Styela clava: one gene and its partners. The protein of the gene in region 1 purifies or fractionates together with the protein of each later gene. This does not show direct contact. Links are inferred from orthologs where the notes say so. Each region holds a gene or a part of one and is shown in the gene's direction. Other genes may lie near its edges.

Region 1 (7,796 bases):
TGGCGAAGTAATAAAATCTCCTTGTCTCCCCAGCATATCTTTATGAACATAATATCCCTGGTGTAAACGAAGATAGGATAAGATCTACGATATCATGGAAATAGCATTCCCATATTATCTTCAGTAATTATGCAGTCCATCATAAACAATATGGATGGATAAAAAGATATAGTGAAAGCTTGATATTAAAATTACTTCAGATGAACAAAATCAGATGCCTCAAAACAAAACATACACCAAACTTTGAGTTCCAACCAGATCAAAGTGCTTACTGCATGAGGGGTTGTTAAAACTTCTTTCATGTATTGTGCAACAGAAATCGGTCCAGAGTACTTGATTTGTTTGCAGATTGAAGTTGCAAGATTGCTTGAGAACGACCGAAAACCACTACAATATAATCTCATTCGAGGTAGATGCGGTAATAAGCTGAGTGCACGCTTCATTACGTTTGCTTTAAGCAAAACTCCCTCGCAACTGAAACGAATGCAAGAAATGTGCGCACAACTCCAACTCATTTACAAAATCTTGGGAACTCAGGGAATTCCCCTTACCAAAATACAACTTGTGCCAGATTTAAAAAAAAAACTCATGTCTCATACCCCAGGTTGAAAAAAATATCTACATCGAATTCATCTTCAAAAATAACATTTTATTACACAAACTTTGGTTTATACAAGCTTTTATAATATGCTATTAAGAACGATTAGTGAACTTATTTTAGGTTTTTGTTGAAAACTATTATCCCCATTGAAAGTGTAAAATTATCCAGAGAATATAGATTCCGTCTCCAAAGAGGTTGAAAATATGACCCCAATTACAATTGAAACACCCCAAATTCAGGCTCCACGCCCTATCTTCTTTCGAAATTAAGGTTCATTTAGATTTTAGACAAAGTGCATCTGATGTCGTCTTCAGATCGTCGAGTAAACCCCTAATCACCAGGTAATTCTTTTATGTGAATAGCCTACTTGTTAATTGTACACTAACAAATGTCTATTGTCACAAAACGAGCGGAAGCATTGATCAACTAAAATGGTAACAGCAATGTAATTGCTTCACGTTATAATAATTATTATTAGGTACTCTTTTGAGTCCGAGGGATTTCATTGAAATCAAATTCGGGGGGGTCGTTAAGGGTTGAGTATAAAGGACAACAAACCCGCTAACCCAGGGGTGCACAACACGAGGCACGCGTGCCAAATTTGGCACGCCATACGCTCAAACGTGGCACGCGAACGGTTTCGTAAAAAATCACATTTATATCAAAATCAGCAGTTTTTCAGGTTATTAAATTGTTTCAATAAACAGATATTCGTATTATGTATTATTATTGAAATTTGTTTGATGTGTGTTTTACGGGAGTTCATGTACAGAGGTTGTTTCCCCGACATCGACTTGTTTATTTCGTGACATTGGCCAATCAGCAAGGTGCAAAAAGTGACGCTCAGACAGATTTTAAGGCCTGTTCGTAAACATTACTTCGTTTTTGAATTCTATTCGTTAGTTTTCAGTTGTATTTCAGATATGTAAATATATATAAAATAATTCAATGATAACTTTGTCTTCTTAGGAGTTTCAGTTTAATTGCAGTAATCAAAAGTTAGTGTATATATATATAGCTGTGATAGAATAGGCTAAAAAATTTTATCGATATTTAAAAAAACAGATTGTTGAATGCAATGAATCAGAATGATGGCTTGAAATAAGTGTCCCAATTTACAGGCGCCAACCACTCTTAAGATAAGCAACGAAAATTTTGAAATGGTAAAGTATGGGAAGAATTTTACGGAGGTCAGAGGTCGTGGAATGTCCATACCAACGATTGTGCATGGCACGCGACAAGATTATTTTGAAAAATTTGACACGTGTTCTCATTTGAGTTGTGTACCCCTGCGCTAACCCATCAGTAGACAACAACAACGAAAAAAAAAACAAAAAACACGTGCGTTTACTGTCCGACAAGACCAGGGAATGCATCTGTGCATACAAATGCAGGTATTGCGTATGGCAGTATGGTGTTACAGAAACGTTGTTAACTTTGTTAAGTATGATAGATTTACAAAGAATCAAAGTATTTTAGGAATTCGAGTGGAAAGACAATATGATAGCACATTTGAACTGTATCAGTGTATGCCACAATAAGAAACGATGATTCATTTTTACTTTATTGTGTGCTTGTTTCTTCGCGTTCATTTGTCAGTTCGTCTACTGTTACTACAGGGGTGGTGACTCCACTACGGCCCATGGGCCGGGGCCACGGCCCATCTAATTGGGCCACATGGGCCGTGGCCCATCAAGCTATGGGCCGCGGCCCCGTCAGAAAAAATTCAATTATCTTACCAAAATTTTCAATTTCTACAAAATTGTCATTATTCGAACCAAAAAATAAACTCCTGTAGTATGTGTACCAGGTTAGGGACTTAGGGTTAGGGCAAAATTTTGTTCAGATTTTTTACATTATAGTTCTATTATGAGTTTGGGGACTGTCTGTGTTAGCCAAGTGAATAGTTCCTTTACACAACTTGATGGGCCGTGGCCCATAGCCTGATGGGCCTAGGCCCAATTTGATGGGCCGTGGCCCCGGCCCATGGGCCGAAGAGGAGTCACCACTTCCACTCTACTGTTATACTCGCAAGATGTTTGCTAGCAAGTACATAGCCTACACGTTAGATAGATTACTGTCAGATAGCCTTTGATTGTTATGTGACTAATATGTGAAATTGTTTTTCTTTAAAAAAATAGGAAAAAAATATATGCAATTTATTTCGTTATTTTGAAAACACAACACTTGTACAGTTGTATCGTACATACAACTTCTCCAATCAACCATGTAGGATGAAACAAACAGCAAAATTCAATCAGTGGTGTCTTAAAACAGCAAATTTGATTTGTATTACGGTATATCAAAACTAATGTCTGAATGTTATGTAACAAAATCAAATTTTGTTCAGTCTTATTATCTGTGTCATGTGAGAAAGTAAACAATCATGCTACTATCCATTATATTTTGTAGGTATCGATGATGCTACAGTTGAAAATGTTATGCAAGTTACACTATTTCAACATATTCAGATATTGGACACCAAAACATAGAGTAGACCAAGGCTTCCCAAACTTTTGAGCTCGTGGCCCTTTTTGATATATTAAAGTTTTTCGCGGCCCTTGTTCTCGCTAATAATGCTAAAAAGTTCTAAATATGCATTTTTGATAATTCATTGACACAGCTAATTCTTAACTTTTAATAGGGCTACTCAATAACAAAAACATCTTTACTCAGATTATTCAATGTAATGGATGCGAATCTTTCTTTCTTAATTCTGCCTAGTTTTTCTTTAAAATGCTCGAAACTCACTCATGTTCCATAAACTCGGTTCAGCAAATGAATAAATTGCGGCCAACGAAATTGCAGCATTAGGGTTTACCTGTTACGTAACAGAAAGTAAATAATTTAGAACGATAAAATGAATTATACACATCATTTGCTCTAATGAGAAACAATAAAACATTTAAAATAAATAAAATATGTGATATGTTTCGAGGCGCACTGAGCAAATCGCCTTCCGGAACCGCTAGCATGGCGATTAAAGCCGGCATTGTTATGCAAGCACGCAAATCGGGTCTTAGGATCAGAATATACATTGTAATGCAAGCGCGATGATTCTACCGTTTAATTCTGATAATTCGGTTTTCTGTAGATAAAGATTATTTATTTCTACTATGTTCAAAAAGCGTTGCGCACCACATCTCCTTTGCGATTTCGTATTTATATTAAGCAGGTTTTTCTACCATGGCCCATTAAATTTGATTTCACTGACTGTTGTTAGATTTTGTTTGTTCGTTTATATTTATATAAAACTCATTGCAAAACTTGAGCATATTTCTGGAGGTCGTCACAATACAATTAAGTTCGAAAACTACTGAGTCCTATAGTTGAAAGAAATCTACTTTTTAAATTGTTAATAACCTATATGTAGCCGCTATTTTAAATGGAAACGTGCTATTAAATTGGTATCATATTTGGGTATTCATATTTCGTATATTAATCTTGTATTCTCTACACTCTCCTAAAATGAGCTCCAGTGTTCAAAAGAAAATTGATGACAATGTCTTATTTTCGGGAAAACACGGTGTGATGATGTATATTCACTCGGAATCGTGAAATTATCGTTTTACACTATTTTTAATGATTGTATTTTAAATTAAGAGTCTGAAAAAGTGCAATAGATATAGTACTTTGTGTAAAATTGGTGTTCTCTTCGCACCCCCTAGAATTCGTTTTGCGGCCCCTCCCAGGGCCGCGGCCCCTAGTTTGGGAAGCCCTGAAGTAGACAACAACAACAGGCATAGAGAACAAAATAATTTTTTTACATACTACATAGTCTTAACATTGTAGTTTCATAGTTGCTTAATGCTGTATTGATACATCTTTTTTTATTATATCCAATTCTAGTTAATTTGGCATTCGAATACTGGTTGAATAGAAATATTCACACTCAAACTGCAAAACTTAACTCCATATTTCATATCTGGTTTTCTGAGCACCTGTGACCGACATTCAGAATTCGTTATGGATCTTTCTATCCATGTTCGGAGAATGAAATTTATGCAAAGGGGTCAATCTGAGGAAACAAATAAATCACTGCAAGAGACAAGTGGAAAAATAATAAATGATGAACAATGGGAAATTGAGTTGCCAACATTATCTGAGAAATGCAGTAAATATGACACAGTAGATATAACAGAACTATGTGATCTCAGATATGGACGAATGTCATTCCAAGGTTTTAATAAACTAACAGAAAAAATGACAAAATATTGGAATAATGAAGCAGTTGAAGATGAAGAAAGAAAATCTGATGAAGATAGTATTGGTTCAATATCAGATGAAGAAATGGCCGACAGATTTACTACTCTAGTTGGAACAGTTGCAAAAAAATATCTTAATAAGAAAAAAGTACCGAAACGTTCGAAAGGCAAAAGAAAATTGATTGACACAGAAAAAGGAACTTTTGATGCAAAGCAAAGAAAACAAGATTCGTCATCATTTTTTATTAAACCTGCAGATGACTAAATTGATACTTATGCGGCCCCTTGTCCTTGTCATGTAGTTTAGATCCAGAAATGAATGACATTGTGTCATTGCAAAATATGATATTCATTGCAATATAATATACAGTACTTCCACCTTGTATGCAATGAAGTGTAACTATCCCTTTATGCTGAATGTGATTCGATGGATAATGAGACATATAGCAATTAGGATTAACACAAAAGTTTTTTGAAGATACCAACTGCTAATTAAACCGCTGTAACTTATCACAAAAAACAGTCTTTAACTATTGCGGTCATACCATATCTGTTTCATAAGTATAAAGTTATGAATACAATTAGTTATATTTTTCACACCATCAATTCTGTAGACTACAATAAATTAGCATTGATGGTATGCTTGAAATTGTTTGTTCATTAAAATATCATGATTTTTACTTCATTGTTATAAGATTATATCCTAATGAATATAACTTCATCGGAAAATTCTACATTAATAAAACAATAGTAACATTTTTCTGTTACTGTATTGCCTAATTAACAAATTGAATATTTTAGCACATTGGTAATATCGTATTCTGAAATGGAATTCTATGGTTTCTTTGATTTATATTTAAACGGCCCCTCGCAGGGCAAACTATTTTCACGGAAATTGCGATTGAGGTGTCACAATCAGTAGAAGAGATCAATATAAAAAATTGGGTAAGTTAATTTTTTCTTATAGATATATAATTAATATAATGTATGATAAAGTTGTTGAATGTTTAATTGTTATTGAAAAGATCTAGTTGTTGAATGCTTATGCAACAATTCGGATGGCAGAGTTTACCAGGACAATATTTAAAAAGTCATAAAAATATGAAATTCTGTATCTAATTCCAGGTACAGTACAAGGACGAACTTTGATGTCATGACATCAGCAAATCTGTCAATTCTTTTATTTTGTTCTTGCAGAAAAAATATTCCACGTTACCAATAGATAATACACACTTTATTAATCGCTAAAAATGCTGATTCTATCATATTGTGGCAGTGTGGAAAATTATAATTTTCAAATATGATAGTATTTAGTAGTATTTCAAATAGTATTTTTACTGTTCAGCTGAAATCAAATGCTCATGTAAGAATTGTTCGTTTTCTTCCAACTCACACATGGCAATACGGAGGAAAGGAAAGAAAGAAAAAGAAATGGTGGAAAATATCCAGAAGGTATGTGATTTTTTCGAGAAATATTACGATACTTTGTCAGTGTTAGGTTATTAACTGGATAACCTAAAAAAATAGCAATTACCTATAAGCCTACTGAGTTTACATTCAAACTTGACTGTTAGGTTTTAAGACCAGGTAAATTTGCTGAGGTAAAAAACTATTTGCTATTTTGTTTGTGTGATTAAATCATTAATTGAATGAAAGTAAAAGTTCTGAATAGAATTGAAAGTTGTGCAATTTTGAAAAAAGATTTTAACAAATAAATCTTTCGATTGATTCAAATGATTCTTTGTTTTGTTAAATGTGCTAACGTATTAGATATGTTTATTATTCACTATTCAAAGGTTGCATAATTTTTTATTTGAATGAATTCCCTAATCATGCACACTAGTGCTAATATAACAATGATAATATTTCAAAATATTGTATGATATAAAACGTGTGTCAAACATTTTTCATATTATTTTACTTTTCATATTTGCAGATAATGATTGATGAAATACAAGTTATTGTCGATTTATACTAGAACAATCATAGGAGATACAGGCCTTCATTATTATCATGGATTGGTATGAAATATTTGAGTAAAAACAATTTCTAATCGAATGCCAATCGAACAGCATCACCATTTAGTGTTTTGAAGGACTGAAAATAATAAGGCAGTACTGGAACTCAATTTGATATAGTAGTGATTGCAGTAATAGAAAAAAATGGGACCTCCTGAAGTATGCGCACCAAGATGGCGCACAACCTGAACTAGGGTTGTGTACCAGGTTATGGTTCAGGTTGTGCGACATCTTGGTGCGCATACCTCAGGAGTATCAAAAAATTTCGACACAGGTTTTCAATGTCATAAAGGGCAAATAAAAACAATTTCCTCTCAGGTCTCTGACATGAGGAAATAGTTGAACTCGTTCAAGAGCCATCCAATGAAGTTGTGTCAATCACGTCATGCACTGGCTTGGGTTACTTATAAATGAGGGATTGACGACTAGCGAATGGTCTGTTCGTACATATCTACTCAAGTTTGCTCTTGCAAAGGTACCCACATCACCACAATCATGGATTGAAGTATCGGGTTCTTCTGTCATTTTCGATTAGTTCAATTTAAAATCCGTTCCAATGCTTCAACATTAATATCGAATTTCCACGAACGACCACCATTCCAACAGGTGCAGTGGTCCCGTCTTTTCTTTGCTCTGTTCCATCATCCACAACGAGATTCATAAAAGAATAAAATCTCTCGCTATGATCCAGGAGTTCTGTGGAACAGAATTATTCTTTTCCAATATTTAAAGGAAACAGATATCTATATGATAGTTGTTTGATGAAATTTAATACAATGGACATGGCAATAACAATTGTTTCAGTTGTATGAATTGTTGAAAAGAAGGTCAAAAGAATCGTGCTTTTTCAATTCAATAAATGTCCGAAGATCAATAAAATGCACTTTGTGTGTGTTGTTTAGTGCGATATAGTTATTACAATCTGGGAATTCCGAAGTAATGTGAATGGCTCTTTGGGTAGCACCATATGGG
Region 2 (6,481 bases), on another chromosome or scaffold:
GAAAAAGTTAAGGATAGAACAAAAATCCTCTATCAAACAAACAAAAAATGGAGATTTATCATAAGTTATGCTATTATTATGGTTATGATATTCATGTTTAGAAGACGGATATAATATTGTGGCAATATTATATCAATTATATTCTATGCAATATACGCATAGATAGAGTAATAGCTTTTTTAATATCACTGTAGATATTTTATCATATTTATCCAATATGGTGACCGTACATTTGAACCCATGTACATTTGAACCCATGCGTATATCCACGGGTTCAGTCTATATGCGGGTGCTAAAACCCATGGGTTAGGGTTAGTATGGGTTTAACTATCCGTGAAACAAAAAAAAATTCCATAGGTGCAATAGCATACAGGTGCAATTGTCATGGGTTCAAATGTACGTGGGTTCAAATGTAATGGAACCATCCAATATACCAATTTTTACCAAATTCTCCACTGTAAAATTGAGCCATTCATAACATATAATGGTGAATTAACTTTTTCGCTGGATATATATATAATATTCTATATAAGATGAAAAGATATAGCCTACATATTTTGGAGATGAGTCTTCTGCAGCATGAAATAAAGAATTTTTTTTTAATTGAGCTCTTTGACCAACTTGAAAATCACAATCATATTTATAGTGTAACAACAATACCTTTAAATTCAACCGATTTGGAATTGACACTTGAGACACTAACAGAGTCAGTCAGTGATGCTTTACTTCCAATTCCCGATTCATAACTATCATCTGATAGAGTCGATTTACAAGTATATTTTGAAAAACTAGATGGAGATGGTTGAGAATGTTTTTTGTTCTGGTGCTTATTGAATTGTTGTTGTTCGGTGGATTTGGTTTGATCTTCAAAGTGAACTGAGGTTGTAACATCTATGAAAAAAAAATAATGCTCATATGTGCTTAAAGGTGAAATGAATATTTAGCCACCGAAGTTTATATCAATGTTAAAAGAATTGTATGAATGTTATATAAAGGTGTGCCCATGAACTATAAAATCCAGAATATTTTAGTGGCGTAATGAAAATTTGAGAAAGGCAATAGCCTTCCAACGACTTTTTTCATCTTAAAGTTTGAAATTTTGAAGTCGATTAGTATATTAATTGCAGCAGAGCGTTTTCACAACATTAACAATAATTTTGCAAACGATCCATAAGTTCACTTTGTGTCCACTGTTTTGCTCTCCATCATTGCAAATGGTGAATTGGTGATGCTGCCTAATTTGACCTAATTTTGCCATTACAAAAAGTAAATACGAATTAAAAAGCAATGACCAGAGCAGAATTCAAGTACATCTGAGGGAATAACAGAATATAACAAACCTATTCCATATTTGGCAAATACTTCTTTACACCCTTTATGTCGAGTTATATCAGGAGCTGTCTGACCTTTGTCATTCTTGATTTTAGCATCTCCACCTGAAAGTATTACAATGTACATTTCATAAAAATCTAATACACATGATGTGTATAAATATCTTTACAATTTCGAAGATTTATCATACAATTCATATGGACACCCTGTATATCAAGACGACTGCCAGCTAAATACACATTTAAATATTTCAATGCATAGATAGTTATACCAGTGATTCGGCACTTTTAAGTAAGTATTATGTTTCAATGACAAGGTGCATACAGTACGAATGTTATCGCTCGGTGCTTGTAATACCTCGGTACTTGGAATTAAACTTAAGTTCTATTCATACCATTTGACAAGAGTAATTCGAGACATTTTGAGTGACCTTCTGATGCTGCATAGTGTAATGCAGTAGATCCATTCAACAAATCTTTACAATTAGGATCCCCACCATACCGCAATAAAACCTAAATAAGATAATCAGCTTTTGAATAAATCAGTGTCATAAAAATGAAATCTTGACAAAACTAATTAGAGATTTGAATTGTTAACACAGCATGTACCAAATTGAATGACTCACTACACTTTAATGAAACATCATATAATATAGGAGGTAAACGTTCACCTTTAAAATGTCAAAATCTCCATTATGAGCTGCTTCATGTTGGGAACTCCATTCAAATAATCCAATATTATTGGGATTGAGGCCTAGAAAACAATATATATATTATCAGACTATAAACGACATAGTAATATAAACAGATACCTATTTCCCACTCCCTGACTCTGGAAAATTAGATAAAAATTTTGTTTTTATCAGTTATTTTATCGTTTATTATATGATTATGGAGTCGAAATAAATTTATACTTTAGTACTTAAGTCTCTCTGGGTCCCAGATATGCATACTATCCTAGTTCTGTCTACTTTACCTGTAGTACCGTACTTTATTCCTCATTCAACATATTCTAATACTACAGTATTAATGTTAACTTATATTAATGTTACCTTGTTGAAGAGCACAAATGGTAGACTCCAAATCCCCAACTCTTACTGCTAAATGTAATTCATCGTCCACTAATTCATCCATTCCTATTTCGGTAGTGATTCCTGAATTATGATCTGTATAGGCTGAAATATATTTATGTTACATCACGTCCATCATCATTCATTCATTTGATTGCATTAAAATCCATGCAAATGTGGCAATTACCAATCTGCCGATGTCGTGAATTATGTGACTGGCTCAATTTATACTATCATATCTGCAAACAACATACTGCCGTATTAGATTGTATGAAATGTAACTCGCCGCACTACAGAAATAGACTACCAACTTATTGCAGTACTGTATCAACTGTACCGTATAAGCTGACAGCTAACAGGCTGGACAAAACTTCAAAAGTGTAAACAGAATTAACCCATTTCGCACAAACGAGTTAGAACATCGTACAGTACGTGGGGTTGCTAGTGTTGAGTGCTTTAAGATGCAGTAATTTCACGGGTAAAAAAACAATGTGTCTCATCCAAAATTGATTACCTATCATAATATTTCGCATTTTATTGTGCTGTTAACCTAGTTCATTCCTTGTTAGGAGAATCTCATTAAAAATAATGATTATGTGCGACGGGTTTTGTCCGACTGCTTGCGGTGGTTGTGTTGTTCACGTAATCGCTCTTTAGCTTCGGATTAGGTCCATCGTCCTCCAATTTGGAAATGAAATGTCGTGTTAACATATCAAAGTAAATCAGAACATCCTATTGTGCGGCATTGCTCGGTGGCTCTGTGGTGTGGCGCATCGTGCTAGGCGTTAGGAATATCCTTGTCATCGCACCTTTGATTACCCTGCTTCGGTTCTCAGGTTCGAATCCCGCGGGGATAATTATGTGGATGGTTTACGACTACGTAATCGCTGGTCGTCGGTTAAGAATTCTTACATCATAAAGTCCATCAATCTAAAACAAATAACTGGCTTACTGATCCCATATCTTACATGGACTGGTAACCGGACGAGGTGGTCTGGGGCTTGGACATATGATTAAGCCGTCTCATCGACTCCAAAATAAAAATAGAATTGTTCTTTTGAAACCGGTTTGTCTCCGAATAAAACAAAAAACGCAATGATACAACATTGTATATACAATTAGGATTAAATATCGCTGATTAAAATTACATGACATCGAATAACATGGGGTTGGACAAAACGTTGCATGATAGCGCAGGTCAGGGGTCACCAAACTACGGCCCGCGGGCACAATCTGGCTCCTGGCGTCCTTTCATATGGCCCGCAATAACACGATAGAATGACTAATTTTTTTTCCGATGGATGGTTCCCCGAGCATCGACTTCTTTGTTTGTTTCGTAACATTGGCCAATTAGCAAGATGCAAAACGTGGCGTAACAATAGACCTTTTAGCAATCGCCCATACATTTTTGTCACTCAGACAGATTTTCAGTCGTGCCTCGTGATTGTAAACAATATACCTCGTTTTCGCGATTTTGAATGCTATTCGTGTTTTTGTTTGTGTTTCGGAAATTTAAGTATGAATTAAATAAGTCAATCATCATTTTTTATTCAGCCCTAGGAGTTGTAGTTTAATCGTAAATATATACTTTAATTGCAGTAATCAAAAATTAGTCTAGAAAATAGCTGTGATAAAATAGGCTAAAATTCTCTACCGGCAACGTTTTCTGCAAAAACTGTTGCTGTGTACGTTTCTCGTGCTAAAATAAACATTTTCGCTAATAGTACTGTAATCTCTCACGTACTGCTCAATAGTATATATTGAAAAAATTTTGAAAGCTAAACTCAAATTTCACAAGTCACATTAACCCTTTTGTACTGCTTACATGCAGATATTCATGACAGCAATTGTTTTGCTAACAGCTAACCTCAGGATAGTTGTCTAAAAATCTTATATACAGTATTTGGGTTGCTATGATGTTCTTGATATATATTCTGCGATATAAAATATGATATTCAAAACTTGTATAATTTATATTGTTGACTGAATTGAGTGGATTTCCCAACGTTTGTGAATTTATTGTATTGCATTGACAAAAATATTTGTCCGGCCCGTTTTAAACAAAGTTTGAGTCATACCTGGCCCTCGGTCAAAAAAGTTTGGTGACCCCTGGCGCAGGGTTTGATCGTAATAGCAGAGCCATTATATAACGGCTTTGGTTGTAGTATATACCGTATTCACGGTTTGATAGGTTATTAAAAGATATGCCTCTAGTGGCCGATTTTCAAGAACTCCGGCTTCATGCGTTGTATTGTATTTTTCTGGTGTTTCACACCAAATCAGTGAGTACGATGTCTTCCAGTGAGGGCGAGGATATTCCTCATGAATTGGAAGAATGTTTTGAAAGTTTCAGCGATTCCCTTGATAAAGTGGAAAGTGCTATCAAGCCTTTGTTGGACACGCCGCGTAATAAGGTTTGTATAAATGCTAAATACTATAAGATACCGGTAATTCAGTAATACATTATCTGTAATAGGATGGTCAGATCCTAAGAGTTTAAATGCCCAATCTCATAATATTAGATAGTTCGAGAGTTAACTTTTAAATGACGCAAATACTTTCTCAGTATCTCCATACTGCTGTACTGTATTACAGGGTCAAGTTAATTGTATGCTGGTATGTGTCAATTTTGCATGTTGACTCATTTTCGGTTTTGTTTTACAGGAGGCCCCTGCAAAACTAGAAGTTCTTGGTAAAGTGGGCATATAATTATGCTTCCACTCTAATATCAGAATGTTACATGACGATCTTGTTACTCATTAAACTGACTCAATTTCTGAATTGAGAGACCATTGTTTTTGGATTATGGATATGTTTTGGGTCTTCATTGTCATAGTACTGTACCACATCATCACAAACATTCATAGCACCTTTTAATGATGGCCAAGATCAGTGTCGCACAATATAGTTTATTTCATTTCACTTTATTTTTAGATACTTCAAGACCTTACACCCTTGGATGTTGCAAAACTAGAACTTGTTTCAGCATACTCCATCAATTCAATGTTTTGGACTTATCTGATAACTCAGGGAGTCAATCCCAGAACACATCCAATTAAAGGAGAATTGGATAGGATAAAGATATACATGGGTAAAGTGAAAGAAATAGAAGACCGAGCAAAAGCTCCAAAGCTAGAAAAAGAAACTGCAAAACGTTTTATAAGAAATGCGATGTTTGATCTCGATGATAAAAATAAAGAAAAACAGGAAAAGTCGGACAGTAAAGGTGCTGCAAAAAGACACTCAAAGCATCATGATCACAAATCCAAAAAGAGGGCGAAAAAAAAGTGAAATGGAAAGGCATGATACCATTCTAAAAATTGGTCTTAAGTTATGAAATCCATCCAAGCATCAGTGAAGGTGGATAGCAACTGATTGAAAAGAGCAATGGAAAATAAAGATTAAGGTTGGCTAGTAAAAATGCCGGCTAGTATAGTCAAAAATTCACAATTGCTATTCTCCGTTTTTAATTATAAAAAACTTTTTTGAATGAAATAAAACAACGAAATGCCAGTAAATGTGTCTAATAGTCTGGATCACAACCAACGACAGCACTCTGAAAGACCAACATACTCTCATCAAAATGCCATGTGTATTGTTGGCGCACACATATATTTATCAGGTAGAAAAACACACTGTCATTGTTAACTTGCAATAGTCATAACCACAAAGCCTATGAATATGAAGCTGTTTCAATAAAGCCTTAGTTATGCTTCATGCCAGCATCAAAAATTTCTCAGCATGTACTGCGTAACATTCTATTCACAAAACGCAACATTTGAAAACAATACATTTTAGACTCTATAAAATATCAGTAACACTGTGTCATGTGTCGTTTATATATACTGTATAGTGCTTCTGTGAATGATCTGAAGCACGTCTTCATCAACCTATGGCTATCAAAGTGATGTTTAGTAGAATTCATATATATTTTGTGCCACGTCAGCAATGAAAACTGTTTCCTCGATCGTAACAGACCCCCCTTTTTCCAAGCTATACACATTCTTCCTCATTCGACTTACAGCATATGCCGCATGTTGCCAAATTTCACACTTTGCAGTAGCGATCTGCCTTCATCTT
Region 3 (7,761 bases), on another chromosome or scaffold:
TATTATATAAAAACTGATCAAAATACTAATTTCATATTTTTTTGAGTGCAAAAAGGTATTTGTAATTTTGCATGCATCTGCTGATTGCTGTCTCTGGAAATCATAATTCTTTTTGTTACCCATTTCAATCAAGTAAGGACATCATTTTGATTATGTGACAGCTTATATGCTTCGTCAAACTTAAAACACACTACACTATATATATAAATAGGGTTAATTTGAATAAAATTATGGCCTAACCCTAACCTGGTACACACACTACGGAAGTACCCATTATTATTTGTAACTTTATTAGGCATCAATCGTTGGTGCGTGGTAAGTTATTGGGTATATCTTTCTTCTGTCATCATTAACTCGGAGCCATGAAAAATTCCTGTCTGGTGAAGTTCATAAAAAACCTATAATTTATTTCTTGCACAGGGAATTAGATCATGCAATGCTTCGTCGTCTGGAGAAAAGAATACTTGTTGATCTTCCAAATCATGAAGCAAGAAAATCTATGTTTTATAGGTGAGTGATTGAAAAGGGAGTTTAAATTTAGACCAAGCAAGTCAAACTAGTACAATCCAATCCAGGGTTTCTCTATATGACTACATTAATTCAAGGAAATTTGATTTGTCTATTTCTTCAACTAGGAGACATTTCTGCTTTTACTCAGGTTTTTTTTGCTATTTATTATTATACATGGCGCTTGAAATATTGGATGAAAACTAATTTAAACCAAAACTAGGTATTTTTGTTGAAGAACCAGCGGCACCAAGTGTTGAGAGTTTTTTAGTAAGCCACAGATCAAGAATCACTAATCCAACCAATTTCAATGTTCTTTTCAGGTTTCTACCTCCGAAAAATAGTGAAGGAAGTTTGATCATCAACACAAACCTTGATTACGGAGCTCTAGCTGAGGTGATTATAATTTATATTTTGGTTTAACTAACCAGTTAATTTGCCTTCCAATCAATTCAATCAAACTGGTGTAAATACCAACTGGTACTTCTTATTCAGATATTTATGTATAAATTTGTACATTTTCAAATTATTTTATTGTTGTTGATTTTTATTGAAAGCTAGAATTACTTGGTTTCATGGTAGAATGTCGAATGCCTGTTTTGAATGGAATATGAATGTCTGTATTAAAATGCTAGCTATACTGTTTTTCTTCCATTATTTGATGATTGATATCTGATTGTGCATTATTAGACACAAAATGCACTTATCGATTATTGTGCTAAAAATCGTTGTTGTTGCTTGGTGTTTTTTCTTGTTGTTGTTGCTTGGAAATATTCTTTTTCTTCACAACTATTAGGCCGATCGATTTCAAAAAGCTGACTCCTATGGAAACCCTTATGTCACCTATAATTATACTGTTTTATTTTAATTGTAAGTGAAGACTTCTCTATATTGTCACTCTTGACAACTTCCACCACACTTTTCCGATGATCTTTTCATAAAACTGTGTGTTCTGAGACTTTTCTGTACCAGTATCGATACTCCCATAGTATGTGTACCAGGTTAGGGTCAGGCCCTAATTTTATTCTGATTTTCCTCATTCTAGTTCTATTACAAGTTCGGGGACTGTCTGAGTTAGCCAAGTGAATATACTCCCTGTCCATAAGTTTCAGTCCCTCCACACAACTTGATGTAAAGTAGGCAAACAAAACTAGTTATCCCCATATTGGTACACATACTTATGGAGCGCCCAGTACCTATGTGCGAACTCTGCGCTCATATATTTCAGCATTGCTCTTTTGTTTCAAGGAATAAAGGAATTGTTTGTTATAAAGAGAAACTTCCATTAGTACTTCTTAGTTCTTTTCTCTCAACATCACCAGGCAATCAATTCACAATATTCTTTTTTTTAGAAAACTGAGGGATATTCTGGATCAGATCTTAAATTAGTTTGTAAAGAAGCAGCAATGCAAGTTGTCAGAAAAATATTCAATACCTTGGAGAATCATGTTGAAGGAGAAGTAAGTATAGAAAATTATAGGTACTCCTGAAGTATGCGCACCAAGATGTCGCATAACCTGAACCCTAACCTGGTACACAACCTGAGTTCAGGTTGTGCGCCATCTTGGTGCGCATATTTCAGGAGGTCCACATTATATTGCACATACTAAAAGAATTAGACAACAGAATAAAACAATTCCAGATAATTTTTCCATATGTTGGAAGTATCTAAGTTTAGGATTTGTTGTGTTACTATATTATATTGACTATAATTATCTTATCAATGTTTACCAAAGGTCTATTTTAGTTGTCGATTCGGAGAGAGACAGTTTATATGCTTCGTCAAACTTAAAACACACTATACACATATCTATAAAATATAAATAAATGAATGAAACATTTAAGATCAAGTTACCACACCATCATTATTGTGTTATATATATGATATAATTGCACGTGTATAAATTTGACTTGCTGCTTAGTTTGTTACTGCTATGGTGTCTTTGGTTTAAAAAGCTCGTTTCTTACAATAAAGTAGTGTTGTAATGGAAACTTGGTGCTTGTCTAAAAAGAACTAAAGGCAGTACACACAATAAATAAACCACAATGTTTTATTGAGTTCATCGGAGTATTGAACACTGTCTATAATCAATCAGTATACTCTTATATTTTCACACTATGTATAAATCGATCCGTGATTATTTATAAAAAAAGGATCAATTTAAACGCATATCAAGGCAGGGAGCTTCTCAGCAAATGAGAGCCATATCAAACCATAATGATTTGTTCATATCTGTCACACCCAAACTGCTCATGTTTTTGTCTACAACAATGTATGATCCCAACTTTCTTGTTTGAGTTTATTCCTCGAGTCCACAGATGTCATGGAATCATGCATTGTTAATAAGTCTGAAACACCAATAAAACAGTATTACGCTCAGGAGGCCACATAATCTCAGACCCTTGATAAGCTGTATTGCTTTTGTTTATATTGTATCCATAATTTATCTACTTTTCTACAGCAACTTCCAGATTTCACCCTGGACACTATATCAACAGCATGTGTTTTAGATGTTCTTATTCACACTAAGCCATCAACTGCTAAACTGAGCCACAAGTACAAAGACTGGCAAACGAAATATGAATCTGTGTAGTGATTTTGCGGTATTCCAGAGGAACAATTATTACTGAATTAGAAATTATTATAATTCAGTCAAGTATTTCATGACATATGGTCACACTTTATTCACTGTAACTAAGCAAGTCTTAATTTATTCTTGCTTAGTCAAGCCACTTGTACTGTGAAATTTAATTTAGTGCTGTTTAAAAATTTGTACACAACTTTACAATATTTTGTGCACTTTTTTAAAGTGGAAAAAGTACTATGTAGTATTATGTCCGCTTACTAATTGTCACATTTTTATAAGAAAATTTTAGTGATATATTTTCCTATTTCTTTTGTTAAAACCTCTTGTCTGTTGTAAAAGATTAAATTATTATCATTGGTCGTGATTATATGAGGTTGGTTTTGGGCACAGGTTGCTAAGTGTAGGAAATGCTTCATTTACGCTGTATGGGAGGGGGGGGGGTGGTTGCGGGACAATGATCAAGTCCATGCTTTCGAAAACAAATAACTTATTAATCCCATACCCGACTTGGAACAATAACCGGACGAGAGGCCTTGGTTCGCCATATGGATAACCCGTCTTATCACTTTCCTCTCCCCCGGGATAAATATGTAAATTCTATCCATCTCACAACCCAATAAAATCTAGATAAATGTCTAAGACTCATTTATCACGATATTGCTGAATCGGGAATTGTTACAGATGATGGTTAGCAGTGATTCAATATACAGTATAAGTTTGTCCGCTTTTGATTAATTTATAAGATAATTTTTAGCTGAATCGCTTAATTTTTTCACTGGACCAAATGGATATCTTCAGTCGTCTCGTTTTTGTAATCTCAGGTTTTGTTTGTCAGTTTTAAATGATGTTTCCAAATCTTTGTTATGTACAAGAGATGAAAATAGAATTAAACCTGTACATATGCTTAATGCGTCTGAAACAAATAACTGGCCACCATTATTCCATACCTGACATGTACTCGTATCCGGACGAGAGGCGGTGCTTCGCCATATGGTTGAGCCGTCTTAAAGCTTTTATTTTTTTTGAATTCAGCTTATTTACGCCAAATGATGAAAACCGGAGGCGTGTCTAGTAGTCTATCGCAAATTATTCGGGGCTAATTATTGCAACTAAACTGAAGGAAGACATAATAACAATTAAATTATTTGGTGACCGTACATTTGAACCCATGTACATTTGAACCCATGCGTATATCCACGGGTTCAATCTATATTCGGGTGCTAAAACCCATGGGTTAGGGTTAGTATGGGTTTAACTATCCGTGAAACAAAAAAAATTCCATAGGTGCAATAGCATACAGGTGCAATTGTCATGGGTTCAAATGTACGTGGGTTCAAATGTAATGGAACCAAATTATTTGAATTACGACTAATTTTTGGAGACACAACTGAAAACTGACAAAGAACACGCAAATGTCATCGTAGACATAATATTGATTGGACAAGGTTACGGAAATAAACAAGGAAACATCCATGGGCACAGCAGAGCCGTTATATAATGGCTCTGGGCACAGCACAATGAGCACATGGACATGAAATTTTACGAGATCAAAGGTCACGCACGCGGATTTCTTGTATTTGAATTATTTTTTTATTTGCAATCTAAGGTTGGGAGTGTGACTACGAAGAGTACGGTACTGTATCGCTGCTACCGCATTTTGCTCGTCTGTATCTGAGTCTCATTAATTAAGTTGTCGGCGAAGGTACGGTGCCATTTGTAGAGGGTTTTTGGCCTAGATTAGACTATTGTCTGGTAATACACTTACCGGTATACCAGTATACAGAAGTTATACCGTTCAGACGTTAGGTCTTGTTTTCATTCACGTCTTCCAGGTCCTCTGCGTTTTGTTTGTTGTTGTTTTGTTTTATACCAAAGCGACCAAAATAAAATTGATTGATTGACGGTATCTACTTATTTTTCTACTAATCTGCAGTTCTGTAACACAATGAGCGTGCGCTTAATGCTGTAATGTGAACTTAGGTTTCAATTATTACTGTAATAGGTCGAATTGGCGCATTCTACTCTAGTCTGCAAGAATGGCAATTGCAATACTTGGTGATGCAGAAAAGCGCTTTATAATTCATGGAATACAAGAAGATTTGCGGAATGATGGACGAGGTTGTGAAGATTACAGACACATTGATTTGGAAGTAAATCTTGTTTCTAACACAAATGGATCTAGCAGACTGAGAATTGGGAATACAGAACTTCTTGTGGGCGTGAAACTTGATCTCGAAATGCCACTGGCAAATTCTCCTGACCAAGGATTGGTGGACTTTAACATTGACTGCTCCCCAAATGCCACACCACAGTTCCAAGGTAGGGGCGGTGAAGATCTTGCCGCAACCATAAAAAGTTTACTAACAAGAGCCTATAACAATAATCTTGTGTTAGACCTTAAAAGCTTATGTATTGTGCCTGGGAAAAATTGCTGGTCAGTGCATGTTGACGTTCTCATATTAGAATGTGGCGGCAATCTTCTTGATGCAGTGTCGATTGCAGTCTTCGCTGCTTTGTTTGACACATCTATCCCAAAACTGGGAGTGACCGAAGGTGATGAGGGGGAGGTGGAAATTAACTTGCCAGATGATCCATTGGACAGTATCCCCATGAATGTGACTAATTGTCCAATTTTTGTGACTTTGTCAAAAGCTGGTCAGAGATATATTATCGACGCCACAGCCGAGGAGGAAGCATGTTGTTTGGCAAGTGTCATTTTATCAATTATGAAAGATGGCCGCTGTACAGCTCTGCGTAAAGACGGCTCTGGTAGCCTGGACCCACAGAGTATTAGCGAAATGCTAGATGTGGGAAAGAGAGTAGGAATGAATTTACATAAATCTATTTTGAAGTTTCTCAAAAACATGCCAGTTATGAAGTTTAATGACAAAACTGGTTTTCTTTGACTAAAACAATCTGCCTTTTCAGAAAATTCCCAATGCTAATGTTTCCCCATAAATATTACCTAAAATTATATTAGCATTCGTTTTATAATGCTTTATTTTGATATCAGATCAATCATACAAAATTAACGCTTCATTGAAAATAATTGCATAGTATGTATAAGTAAGAATTAGTAGGGGTAGATAGATAATAACAAGCATGTGCTTTGTCAGTTCGGCGTTAATTTCATGGAGGGTTTCGCTATTTGTACTGCAGCTAATAGAGAGGACAACACGCCACATAACCCAACGACCCCGTTATTGAAATTAGTGTATCCCAGACTGTTTGCGGGGATAACTATATCGAATCCATTTTTCAAAAGGTCGATTATTGCTTGTTGATTCTGCTTCACAAAATTGGAAAAGTAGGTCTGGAACGAGATGGATTCTTCGCGCCTTCTTGCATCTCTAGCCAATAGTTGCATATTGATATACAACGAATAGAGATCCCTTGCAAAAGCCATCATCAAAGATGCCAACCAAAACTTGTTCGCGCTCTCTGTCCACTTCTTCAGATCTGCGTGTACCAAGCCAACTTTCCCCATCCATATATAGTGGTCAATGAGAAGGTAGGCTGCTTTATTTGTATGAGAGGTAGTTAGTGTGAGACTCAGAACATAGTTTTGCAAATTTATTGCTCTCTGGGCTGCTCTGAGACTGTCCACACTTTTCCCAAATCTAAATACTGAAAAAAATGTATATTTTTTTTTTATTCAGTAAATTGAGCTTTGGTAATGTGAGATCTGTGTCTGTTGCCAGAATTATTAAAATATAAACTCACATTTTCTGGACGTGCTCATTAATTTTTCCAGCTCTATGAGCATGTTGACTGCATTTTCCTTATTGCCATTTCTCAGTAGATACCATACAAGAAATTTGCTGCCATATTGCGTGACTCTATAAAACATGTTGTATTCAATTACAAGAAATCCCAATTTCTGCACATTTACCTAAAAACAGTCTTGAGAAAAAACAATCAATTACCTATATAATTTGTCTCGACCAGCCGTCTTGTTGCAAAAAGCTAGGAAGTCATCCATTTGAACTTGACCTGATTTATTTTAAAGCTATAGCTCTGGAAATGAAAAAAAGCATTTCTGTCAAAACATCCCAGAATCACATATGTAAAAGGAGTGAATTATGAGGAATACATACTATACAGAAATATATAGTATAAAATACCAGTGGACAGAGGTCGACAATGCTAGGCGCAAAACTGATTTTACTTTTCACTTTACAAGAAAACTCTGCTTGATAAAGTTATTTCACAGGGTGTTTTCACTTTGTGCATGAAATGTTTCAACATAATGGGATTTGGAATCTACCAATCAAAATTACACTATAAAGACCAATGATATGAATGATAAACAAGGGGGCCATGAGTGTTTAAAGTCGGGACGGGCAAGGGGCCACGAGCCATAGCATGTTGGGAATCACTGGTCAAGGCAACATGAAAATATAAACCCAATAAGCGCAGTTAATTGCCATGCAGTCAATGATCTTCCGTATTTTGGGCAATTGAATTGCGTAACTTAGAGACAACTATCAAAAATGAATAAATCAAGCTCAAACAGGGCAAAGATGATGTTTGATGTTATCTAACAGTGAATGATATAAATATAGTCGGTGGGCAAGTTATGGCAAAACCATCGGTCCGGAAATCTTGTCTCGGACTTCCTTTCCCTTCAACATTTCAACTAGCTCTAAAGCAAATTCAAATGATG

The links.
Region 2: the proteins of M-phase phosphoprotein 6-like (region 1) and nuclear nucleic acid-binding protein C1D-like purify together in Homo sapiens (co-immunoprecipitation; 3 studies listed by BioGRID and IntAct, counting the BioPlex papers as one, with this or other methods). This does not show direct contact. The link is inferred for Styela clava from reciprocal best matches to the Homo sapiens genes MPHOSPH6 and C1D.
Region 3: the proteins of M-phase phosphoprotein 6-like (region 1) and exosome complex component RRP42-like purify together in Homo sapiens (affinity purification with mass spectrometry; 4 studies listed by BioGRID and IntAct, counting the BioPlex papers as one, with this or other methods). This does not show direct contact. The link is inferred for Styela clava from reciprocal best matches to the Homo sapiens genes MPHOSPH6 and EXOSC7.

The regions. Positions count from the first base shown.
Region 1 is NC_135253.1:11,374,933-11,382,728, forward strand, and holds the start of M-phase phosphoprotein 6-like, read left to right. Parts: upstream 1-4,430; 5' UTR 4,431-4,567; coding exon 4,568-5,071; 3' UTR 5,072-5,751; intron 5,752-6,151; 3' UTR 6,152-6,258; intron 6,259-6,742; 3' UTR 6,743-6,827; intron 6,828-7,142; 3' UTR 7,143-7,796. Other genes in the region: protein arginine methyltransferase NDUFAF7, mitochondrial-like, read right to left, coding at 1-57, 273-515. UniProt on the Homo sapiens protein: RNA-binding protein that associates with the RNA exosome complex. Involved in the 3'-processing of the 7S pre-RNA to the mature 5.8S rRNA and play a role in recruiting the RNA exosome complex to pre-rRNA; this function may include C1D.
Region 2 is NC_135252.1:10,622,564-10,629,044, forward strand, and holds nuclear nucleic acid-binding protein C1D-like, read left to right. Parts: upstream 1-4,641; 5' UTR 4,642-4,692; coding exon 4,693-4,815; intron 4,816-5,335; coding exon 5,336-5,692; 3' UTR 5,693-5,919; downstream 5,920-6,481. Other genes in the region: uncharacterized protein LOC120342968, read right to left, coding at 661-891, 1,341-1,436, 1,727-1,844, 2,003-2,085, 2,384-2,465; protein FRG1-like, read right to left, coding at 6,449-6,481. UniProt on the Homo sapiens protein: Plays a role in the recruitment of the RNA exosome complex to pre-rRNA to mediate the 3'-5' end processing of the 5.8S rRNA; this function may include MPHOSPH6.
Region 3 is NC_135257.1:17,234,966-17,242,726, forward strand, and holds exosome complex component RRP42-like, read left to right. Parts: upstream 1-4,907; 5' UTR 4,908-5,131; coding exon 5,132-6,001; 3' UTR 6,002-6,207; coding exon of another isoform or gene 6,208-6,722; 3' UTR 6,723-6,818; downstream 6,819-7,761. Other genes in the region: katanin p60 ATPase-containing subunit A-like 2, read left to right, coding at 421-510, 831-903, 1,860-1,967, 2,970-3,101; peroxisomal membrane protein 11A-like, read right to left, coding at 6,208-6,722, 6,819-6,934, 7,022-7,077; Parkinson disease protein 7 homolog, read right to left, coding at 7,673-7,761. UniProt on the Homo sapiens protein: Non-catalytic component of the RNA exosome complex which has 3'->5' exoribonuclease activity and participates in a multitude of cellular RNA processing and degradation events.